Arabidopsis thaliana: one gene and its partner. The protein of the gene in region 1 interacts with the protein of each later gene in a pairwise test. Each region holds a gene or a part of one and is shown on either strand. Other genes may lie near its edges.

Region 1 (5,750 bases):
CTGACGTTTATACCTCCTTTTGATCACCCTGATGTTATTGCTGGACAAGGGACTGTTGGGATGGAGATCACTCGTCAGGCTAAGGGTCCATTGCATGCTATATTTGTGCCAGTTGGTGGTGGTGGTTTAATAGCTGGTATTGCTGCTTATGTGAAGAGGGTTTCTCCCGAGGTACTCTTTTTGCTGTGACTGCTTTGGCAATGTCACCTTCTGTTCTGTTGTTGTTAATAACAGCTACTTGTGACAAAATCCAGAATTTTAATTAAGAAATGAGTTCCTTCAGCTTCTGTTTCTTATTGTGACTTTTGGGTTATGCAGGTGAAGATCATTGGTGTAGAACCAGCTGACGCAAATGCAATGGCTTTGTCGCTGCATCACGGTGAGAGGGTGATATTGGACCAGGTTGGGGGATTTGCAGATGGTGTAGCAGTTAAAGAAGTTGGTGAAGAGACTTTTCGTATAAGCAGAAATCTAATGGATGGTGTTGTTCTTGTCACTCGTGATGCTATTTGTGCATCAATAAAGGTATGGTACTATCCTTGATACGTTATCCCTTGTCAGACGGTGTTTGGCATATGCATACTGAATTGTAGATAATCAGATACTTGTCTCTACAGGATATGTTTGAGGAGAAACGGAACATATTGGAACCAGCAGGGGCTCTTGCACTCGCTGGAGCTGAGGCATACTGTAAATATTATGGCCTAAAGGACGTGAATGTCGTAGCCATAACCAGTGGCGCTAACATGAACTTTGACAAGCTAAGGATTGTGACAGAACTCGCCAATGTCGGTAGGCAACAGGAAGCTGTTCTTGCTACTCTCATGCCGGAAAAACCTGGAAGCTTTAAGCAATTTTGTGAGCTGGTGTGTGTTTGGTATTATAGCATATAGTAGTTAATCACATTACAGAGTGTATGTAAGACAAAACATTAATGGGTGCAGGTTGGACCAATGAACATAAGCGAGTTCAAATATAGATGTAGCTCGGAAAAGGAGGCTGTTGTACTATACAGGTAAGGCCATTCCTGAAAAATTCCTTCCTTCCCGAGTAGTTTATTCATCCTCTAATCTGCAAAATTTTGTAAATTGTTGTATAGTGTCGGAGTTCACACAGCTGGAGAGCTCAAAGCACTACAGAAGAGAATGGAATCTTCTCAACTCAAAACTGTCAATCTCACTACCAGTGACTTAGTGAAAGATCACCTGCGTTACTTGGTGCGTCCTTGATTGATTTCTCTCTGTGCTTATTTCTCCTTTAGGATTACTAGATTTCCAATTCATTCCCATTGGTTGATGCAAAGTTGTCATGTGAATCACACTTTATACATATCAGATGGGAGGAAGATCTACTGTTGGAGACGAGGTTCTATGCCGATTCACCTTTCCCGAGAGACCTGGTGCTCTAATGAACTTCTTGGACTCTTTCAGTCCACGGTGGAACATCACCCTTTTCCATTACCGTGGACAGGTTTGTTTCCCATTTCACCATAAAAATGTTTTAATGGAACTTCGAGTCTCCTCCTTACTATACAATCTTCCTTCTTTCAAAAAAGGGTGAGACGGGCGCGAATGTGCTGGTCGGGATCCAAGTCCCCGAGCAAGAAATGGAGGAATTTAAAAACCGAGCTAAAGCTCTTGGATACGACTACTTCTTAGTAAGTGATGACGACTATTTTAAGCTTCTGATGCACTGAGTTTGAAGCTGTGGTGGATAATCCAAATCTCAGGAAGAAGAAGAACCCATGAGAGTCTTCCTCGTGATCATGGTTGTTCTTGAGATTCTTTAGTCTGTTTTCTCTCGGGTCTGTGTCTGTCGGATGAGCGTTTTAGCCACTGTAGTTCAATGAGTAACCTCTATTTGCTACGAACTCTCATTCCTAGATCGTGGGTTACCTTTTGGTTTCTCCAAGCAATTTGAGGCTAGCCTCCAATAAAAAATAGTATTTCTAGTATTTGAAAAAACGCTACTTTCGTGGTATAGAGAAAGATAAAGAGAGAGAGAGAGAGAGAGAGAGAGAGAGAGAGAGAGAGAGAGAGAGAGAGAGAGAGAGAGATGCTCTTGATATTGCTCTTGATACAACTCTATTATTATTGCTCTTAATCCATAATGAAAGTGCTTTATGAATTGTAATTATATGATGCTTAATTATATGATGGTTAATTGGTAACTGATTTTCAACGAGAAAAAGTGTTTGTCCCTGTATCTAGCTTTCTAACTCGGTTTACAAGCCTAATTTTGTTCTGTTGTGTACCAAATCGATCATTTTTGGTTGTCTCAGTTTAAGATTGGTCTGACTCTCAGTTTAAGGCTGGCAAAAAAGTCACAATCATTACGCGGTTAAACAGTTACTATATTTGGTTGTTTAATCGATGTTTTAAACCGTTTTTCAATAATGATTGATATTTGTTTTATTTTATTGTATGCAGATTTCAGATTTGTATGATATAAATAAAAAAGTTGTGAAATCAAAAAAGCAGATACTGTTTTTCATTTATTTGTGAAAAAATTTAAGAAAAAAATCTTATGAAAAGTTAGGTTGGATTTTTATTATTGGCAGAAAGGTAAAAACAGTGGCCAAAAAAAGGCAGCTCCATTGGTTTTGCCAAAACCAGCCCCTTGGTTTAGGCTTGATTTGTAATCCCAAAAAGGAAACAAAACTTTAAAAACCACAAAACCATGGGCAGTTTTCAGATCATCCCTTTGACGGCTCCCAAAACCACTGCTCTCCTCTCTTCTCTGTATATTACTCTCTTTCTCTTCCTTTGACTCCAATCCCGAAACCACTTCACCAAAAAACATCTTCAACACAAACTAAACAAAACTTAAAAGTAAGAACTCGAAGATACTGTACTTACAAATTCCTGTCGGAATTCTCTTACTTCGTCGGAAATTCGAAATCTGGGTTTGTGGGATTCCGTGTTGATTTATCTACCATTGTTTCCAAGTTTCAATTTTTTATCCAATTTAGGGTTCAGTGTTTGATGGAATCGAATGTGATGTTCTCTGGGTTTAGTCCAAGAATGTTGAGCTTAGAAATGCCGCAAAATCCACCAAATCCCCAAAATTCAATTCAGTTCCAGCATCCTCATCCTTACACCACCTCCGGCGACCAACAAACTCAGCCGCCGATAAAATCCTTATACCCATACGCCTCAAAACCCAAACAAATGTCACCCATTAGCGGTGGCGGTTGCGACGACGAGGATCGCGGGTCGGGTTCCGGATCCGGTTGCAACCCTGAAGACAGCGCGGGAACTGACGGGAAGAGGAAATTGTCACAATGGCATAGAATGAAATGGACGGATACAATGGTTAGGCTTTTGATCATGGCGGTTTTCTACATCGGTGACGAAGCTGGTTTAAACGATCCAGTCGACGCCAAGAAAAAGACCGGCGGTGGCGGTGGCGGCGGAGGAGGAGGAGGGATGTTGCAGAAGAAAGGGAAGTGGAAATCAGTGTCGAGAGCTATGGTGGAGAAAGGTTTCTCTGTGTCACCACAACAATGTGAAGACAAGTTCAATGATTTGAACAAGAGGTACAAGAGAGTTAACGATATTCTTGGTAAAGGAATCGCTTGTCGTGTCGTTGAGAATCAAGGATTGTTAGAGAGTATGGATCATTTGACTCCGAAGTTGAAAGATGAAGTCAAGAAGTTGCTTAATTCTAAGCATCTTTTCTTTAGAGAGATGTGTGCTTATCATAATAGTTGTGGTCATCTTGGTGGTCATGACCAACAACCACCGCAACAGAATCCTATTTCGATTCCGATTCCGAGTCAGCAGCAGAACTGTTTTCACGCGGCGGAAGCAGGGAAAATGGCGAGAATTGCGGAGAGGGTGGAGGTGGAGGAGGAAGTAGAGTCTGATATGGCGGAGGATTCGGAGTCAGAGATGGAGGAATCAGAGGAAGAAGAGACGAGGAAGAAGCGGAGGATATCGACGGCGGTGAAGAGGTTGAGGGAAGAAGCGGCAAGTGTAGTGGAAGATGTTGGGAAGAGTGTGTGGGAGAAGAAAGAGTGGATAAGGAGAAAGATGTTGGAGATTGAGGAGAAGAAGATTGGGTATGAGTGGGAAGGAGTGGAGATGGAGAAGCAGAGAGTGAAGTGGATGAGATATAGGAGCAAGAAAGAGAGAGAGATGGAGAAGGCTAAGCTTGACAATCAGAGACGGAGGCTTGAGACGGAGAGGATGATTCTCATGTTACGGCGGAGTGAAATTGAGTTGAATGAGTTACAGTCTTCGGGTACACGGGTTGACCCGAGTTCCGCTAAGGGGTGATGCTGATTAGTATTTAGGATTAGAGATTTTTTACAACTTTGTAGTTTCTAATGTTAGGATTCTCACGTTTTAGTGACATTAGGCAGTAAATTAAATCTTAAAAGTATGTACTATTGTAGACAAAAGGTCTTTAATCAGCAAATTGATTAAGCATGTCTACTTTTGTAGTTTCAATTTTCGAATAAGGATTCTCTCACGCTGTCAATATTTAAGTGGTTAATTGGTAAAAGTGAGAAGAAATTAATCAATCGTACAAAGGTTAACACACATACTAAGGGAAAAAAAAAATGACACACCCGGTGGGACTCGAACCCACAATCGTTTGATTAGAAGTCAAACGCCTTATCCATTAGGCCACGGGTGCTCTGCTTGCACTAGAGTATTGAGAAAACATTAAGAAACATAATTACAATCAGTAAAACTACCCACGGCCCACGGGCGATCCTCGTTTATTTAAAGAATATATGTTTCTCTATTTAATAATTTACCCTTCAAAGCATCACAATGGAGAGTTTTTCTTCTATTTTTAACCAACTAGAGTTTTGTGTACAAGTAGTTATTAAAGATATAATTCAAGAACTGTTATGATATTTGTAAGAAGAAGAGATTTTCTATTATAAATACTTGAGTGAAAGTTTAGGTAGGTTACACAATGTCAATAATGTGACAAAGATTATTTGAGATGATAGAACACAAAAAAATATCATACCATACCACTATATTCCATTTCCATCTAGTGTTTGAGCAGATATTCTGCTTTGTACATGTTTCTTGCACCTACAATAAGATTCAAAAGTTTAATTAGATACCATTGGAACTATAGCGATAGTTGCAGTTTTCTCTAAAGTTTTCCTATAACATATTTTCGGACATATGGTAGGAGCATCTGGAAGATTATGAGGATCAACAAATAGCGGAAAACAAATTACTGTATACACATTGCTTTCAAAAACCAAACAATCTTCGTCAAATGAATTTTGTAACTTTTGCTGAATATGATACCAAGTGGAGTCCAATGACAAACAATCTCCGGTATGAATTTAGTGTCGTACGTGAAGTATATATAAGTTACAAATCATGTCTTTAGAACAAATGATGGAAAGTGATATATCATATATACAGTGAGACACGATGCGATCAATCAAACGACCAAATTAAAAAAAAAAATTAGTAACATAATTATGACTCGTTGTTATATCTAAAAATGACAGGAAAACATTGGACTAAACCATTTTTTTCAGTTTTAATTGTTGTAACACCTGTTTCCAACGTTTTATATTGATAGTATTAATTATTTTCTTCGTTCACCCGTTACATCAATTGAAAATTGAATTGTTATCATCAAAGGTTTTATAATTTTATAAATTTTAATCTTACAAAGACAAAATCATTATGGGAATATATATCTGTGAAAGAATTTTGATAATATGTATTTTGTTGGAAAGCTGAAAAATATGAGGTAACGTAGGT
Region 2 (4,954 bases), on another chromosome or scaffold:
TATGTATGGGAGATATTTTAAATGTATGTGACAGGGACATAGACACTCTTTGGTTGAGAAGATATGAACAACTCATTTAGTCACGTGTTGAATATGTACAGGCCAAAATACTGTATTTTAAACAATTGGAATTATTGTTTTACTTGTCAAGTGATCACTTTGTTCAACCCAATTCCCCAACTAATTTATTGTTTTATAGTGTCACACTGTCACGAGTAACTAAGCAGGTTCGTGGTCTCGGCCCAATTAAAAGGCCAATCAATTAAACTAAATGCAAGTGCCTATAACTCGACCTATGAAGCCCACTATCTTAGCGATTCGGCCCAAAAAGACAACTTGCCTTGTGTAAAATGATTTCACTTTGTATCCATCCAATGATTCCAATTAATGAGAAGTTATGTTCAGATTTAAGAATTCCAGTTAGTGAACAAAAAATCAACTACTGGAATTTGTTTTGCTTCTTATAAATTTGGTTAGAAAAACAAAACATAAGGTTTATATCTATAAACACAAAGAAATTGTACTAATGTACAGTTCCGAAACGAGTATAGTCAATTATTAAAAGTTAAAATAGTGAAACAAATAATTGCTCCATGAATGACATATTGACATCATTATCTGTTTCTTTGAGATAAGCTAATTTAGGAACTTGTCTCAATCCTGTAAAATGATTTGGACCCTACCTATTTTATTCATCTGTCTTTCTTTGCGTTCACAATTTGATCTTAATATATAAATATATAGTACATGATTGCACTAATATATATATATATATATATATATATATATATTATATGTAGTATAACTATACACGTATGAAGTTGAATTTTATAAAATAAAATTTTCTTTTAACTGAATTTCCAATAGTTGTTTATACATAATTTAGAAAGTTGCAACCATAAAATATATTTCACCATAAAACAACAAAATATGGTTTCCACGTACACATACACATAACACATACCTACTGAATATTCCGTAATTTACGATGCCTGATAATTTGGACCTAATAAAGTTAGTTAAGAGTAAACAGAATTACAAGGAAATTTTAAATTGAGTTTAAGAAAACTAGTAATTGATTTGGAATGCTAGTTATCAAACAAAAGGACAAATATATTTTTCGGATTATTTTTAATAACTTTTTTGTTTGTCACGAAACGACAAAAGCTTTGTCATAAAAACCAAATCCTATCAACTTGCTCAAAAAGCTTCAATAATATCGTACGTGTCCTGCACACGCAGATTCATAAATGTGTTTCTATGCTTTTACAATTTTAGCCTTATGCATAACAGCATAAGGTCTTAATGGTCCTCTCTCCTAATCAAAATTACATTCAAAAGTTGTTGTATAGTTTTTCATTATATTTTCAATAATTCATTTATTTTGTGCCTATGTTAAAACATTTTCATAATTCATTTATAATATTATTTAAATTTAAATGTTAAATATCTGTTCTGCGTTGGCTACTCCTGAATGCAAACAACATTGCAAAAGTATTTAGTTGTGTTTTTAATGCCTAATCACATTAATAGATACTAGATCTAAGGGAAATAGACTTTATGAAAAAATCAATTGACGTTAGGTAAAAATTTGTTTAGACTATTTTTGTCTACCAGCAGACAACTCTGACTAAATTTTTAATCTTATTTACTGCAACTAACTATTAATAAACTAATAAAATCCTAATTTACAATATAGATCTACAGTAAATGAATATAAAAGTCTGGTAGTACCGTAAATAGTACATCAAGATAAGGGTATAATAGTAAACAACCATCGTACTCGCTTCATCTTTTATTTTACTCTAAAATCTCTTTCTGAAGAAAACAACAAAGCAAAGCGTTGAAGAGAGAAGAAGAAGCAAAGATATAACCCCCAAAAGTATCAATTAGTTTCCATTTTCGCCGCTAAGATTCTGTTTTCGAACATTTACACCCTCAAGAATCGCCGCCATGTGTGGAGGAGCTATAATATCCGATTTCATTCCACCGCCGAGGTCTCGCCGTGTTACTAGCGAGTTTATTTGGCCGGATCTGAAGAAGAATTTGAAAGGATCGAAGAAAAGCTCGAAGAATCGTTCGAATTTCTTCGATTTTGACGCTGAGTTCGAAGCTGATTTCCAAGGTTTCAAAGATGATTCGTCTATCGATTGCGATGATGATTTCGACGTCGGTGATGTTTTCGCCGATGTGAAACCATTCGTTTTCACTTCGACTCCAAAACCCGCCGTCTCCGCCGCTGCGGAAGGTAAATATTTAGGGATTGACTTTAGTTTGAGCGATTGAATTGGTTAGAAATTAAGTTTCGATTCTATTTAGCTCTGTTCATAGATACCTTTATCTGCTTACGATTTTGATTGTTGTATAAAGCATGAGGTTTGATTTGTGTGATATTTATATGCATATGAGGTTGAGTGATGAGACTTGATTTGTGTGATGAGATTTGATTAGAGATTGTTGATGAGTTATTTATAGAAGAACTCTTTTGTTTTGTTGTTGTTTCACTACTAGGTTCAGTTTTTGGTAAGAAAGTTACTGGCTTGGATGGGGACGCTGAGAAATCTGCAAATAGGAAGAGGAAGAATCAGTACCGAGGGATTAGGCAACGTCCTTGGGGAAAATGGGCTGCTGAGATACGTGATCCAAGGGAAGGTGCTAGAATCTGGCTTGGAACGTTCAAGACAGCTGAGGAAGCTGCTAGAGCTTACGATGCTGCAGCGCGGAGAATCCGTGGATCTAAAGCTAAGGTGAATTTCCCTGAAGAAAACATGAAGGCTAATTCTCAGAAACGCTCTGTGAAGGCTAATCTTCAGAAACCAGTGGCTAAACCTAACCCTAACCCAAGTCCAGCTTTGGTTCAGAACTCGAACATCTCCTTTGAAAATATGTGTTTCATGGAGGAGAAACACCAAGTGAGCAACAACAACAACAACCAGTTTGGGATGACAAACTCCGTTGATGCTGGATGTAATGGGTATCAGTATTTCAGCTCTGACCAGGGTAGTAATTCTTTCGATTGTTCGGAGTTTGGTTGGAGCGATCAAGCTCCGATAACTCCCGACATCTCTTCTGCGGTTATCAACAACAACAACTCAGCTCTGTTCTTTGAGGAAGCCAATCCAGCTAAGAAGCTCAAGTCTATGGATTTCGAGACACCTTACAACAACACTGAATGGGACGCTTCACTGGATTTCCTCAACGAAGATGCTGTAACGACTCAGGACAATGGTGCAAACCCTATGGACCTATGGAGTATTGATGAAATTCATTCCATGATTGGAGGAGTCTTCTGAAGAGATCCAGTTTCATGTAAATAAGGCTGCATGTTTGTGAGTTTCCCGCATCGTTCGTTTATCAACCTCCAAAACTTTCTAATGTCTGTTACTTGCATCTTCTTCTGCTGTCTCTGTCTGTCTCTCTCAGGAGTTCCTGTTTGCATTGCGAGAAGCCATGAGCCTCTATCTTGAGGGTAGTTGTGATGAAGTTAAGTAGAGGCTTATTTTTAGGGGTTGTGGTAGTTTTTGTTTTAGTGAATCTTTTGAATTCGTTTGTGTTTTGTTTTTGTTACTTTATGCCCCAAAACTCCTTTAACATTTGTCATAATGTGTTTGAACCTCTCATCTGTTTAATCAAATAAATCTTCTTTGTATGCTACTAAGAGTATGTGAGAACTGTTGAACATAACAAAGAAGTCACAAGCTAAGTTTGAACCAAACCGGTTCTCGTAAATTTGTGATCAGAAAAAAAGCGGTGATCAACTGATCATCAAAGTGATTGCCTAGAGAAGTGCGCCACTTTTGTTATTTTGTGGTACAATGAATCTAGAGGGAACAAACGTTGAAACGACGACGTTAAACGACAGAAGAATCTCTAAAGGTTGAACTCTCTTTTTGCAAGTGGTAACTGGTGAGTTTGTGTCTTTCTCGTGACCGTTTCCTTATGATAACAGAAAATAAAAGAGAGTAAATTAACTCTTCTGGACAGTTCTGCTTCTTTAGGTCATTTTCACTCTGTATAAATATCTAAGCATTAGCACACATTCTTTATTTTTTACTGAAACATATTTATATGTATTTGGTAATTTAATCTACTGATTTTTCATATAAATTGTTGTTAGTTACCGTATTACTGTCAAAATGTAGCCCAAAATGTAAGTGTCAAGGTGCTTTGAGTTGTGTGATGACAAGTTTGACATAACATTTGGTTTCTCCTATTATTGTGAAGAAATGAAATTATCTTATGGTGATACTTGCATTAATATTACTAATCAAACCATTTGACTTCTTTTCAAAAGTCTTTGTATATAAGTGTGGACACACATTTTATATCATAAATAAATACATAGTCTTGTCGACATGTCTATAAGTTAGATTTAAAAAGCAAATGATTTGGTCTATATAACACACACATCACGAGTCTTTAGAATTTTGTGGTGAATGAGAGAGTCAACTTTAATGGAGAAAGTCACAAGGAGAACTATCTCCTCCTTCATCTTCTTTATCGTCTCTTCTACCATTCTTTTTCTCGCCGGAAAATCCTCGGCCAAAATTTCTCATAACGGTGACAATAATGTGACGGCCTTGTTCCTCTTTGGAGACTCTTTCTTGGATGCAGGAAACAATAATTACATTAACACCACTACACTTGACCAAGCCAATTTTCCACCTTATGGTCAAACATTCTTTGGCCTCCCCACCGGAAGATTCTCCGACGGTCGTCTCATCTCTGATTTCATTGGTGAGAAGATTATATTTCTTATTATTCATATATTAGCTCGTGGTCTTATTTAAAGATATAATATTGACGGAAATGTACGTTAATGATAGCGGAATATGCGAATTTGCCGTTAATTCCGCCGTTTTTGGAACCGGGAAATAGTCAAAAGAAGCTTTACGGCGTCAACTTTGCGTCTGCTGGTGCTGGTGCTCTTGTGGAAACGTTCCAAGGTTCGGTA

What was found. The genes of interacting proteins can lie anywhere in the genome.
Region 2: the proteins of AT3G10040 (region 1) and RAP2.12 interact in a two-hybrid assay, tested with the Arabidopsis thaliana proteins (one study listed by BioGRID).

Annotation. Positions count from the first base shown.
Region 1 is NC_003074.8:3,095,110-3,100,859, reverse strand, and holds AT3G10040 (sequence-specific DNA binding transcription factor), read left to right. Parts: upstream 1-2,442; 5' UTR 2,443-2,984; coding exon 2,985-4,280; 3' UTR 4,281-4,515; downstream 4,516-5,750. Other genes in the region: OMR1 (L-O-methylthreonine resistant 1), read left to right, coding at 1-171, 319-525, 618-866, 945-1,015, 1,100-1,217, 1,336-1,470, 1,556-1,696.
Region 2 is NC_003070.9:20,133,289-20,138,242, forward strand, and holds RAP2.12 (uncharacterized protein), read left to right. Parts: upstream 1-1,555; 5' UTR 1,556-1,953; coding exon 1,954-2,248; intron 2,249-2,511; coding exon 2,512-3,293; 3' UTR 3,294-3,725; downstream 3,726-4,954. Other genes in the region: GLIP5 (GDSL-motif lipase 5), read left to right, coding at 4,437-4,737, 4,827-4,951. UniProt on the Arabidopsis thaliana protein: Transcription factor involved in the activation of hypoxic gene expression and in ethylene response. Partially redundant with RAP2-2. Acts as a downstream regulator in the ethylene signaling pathway.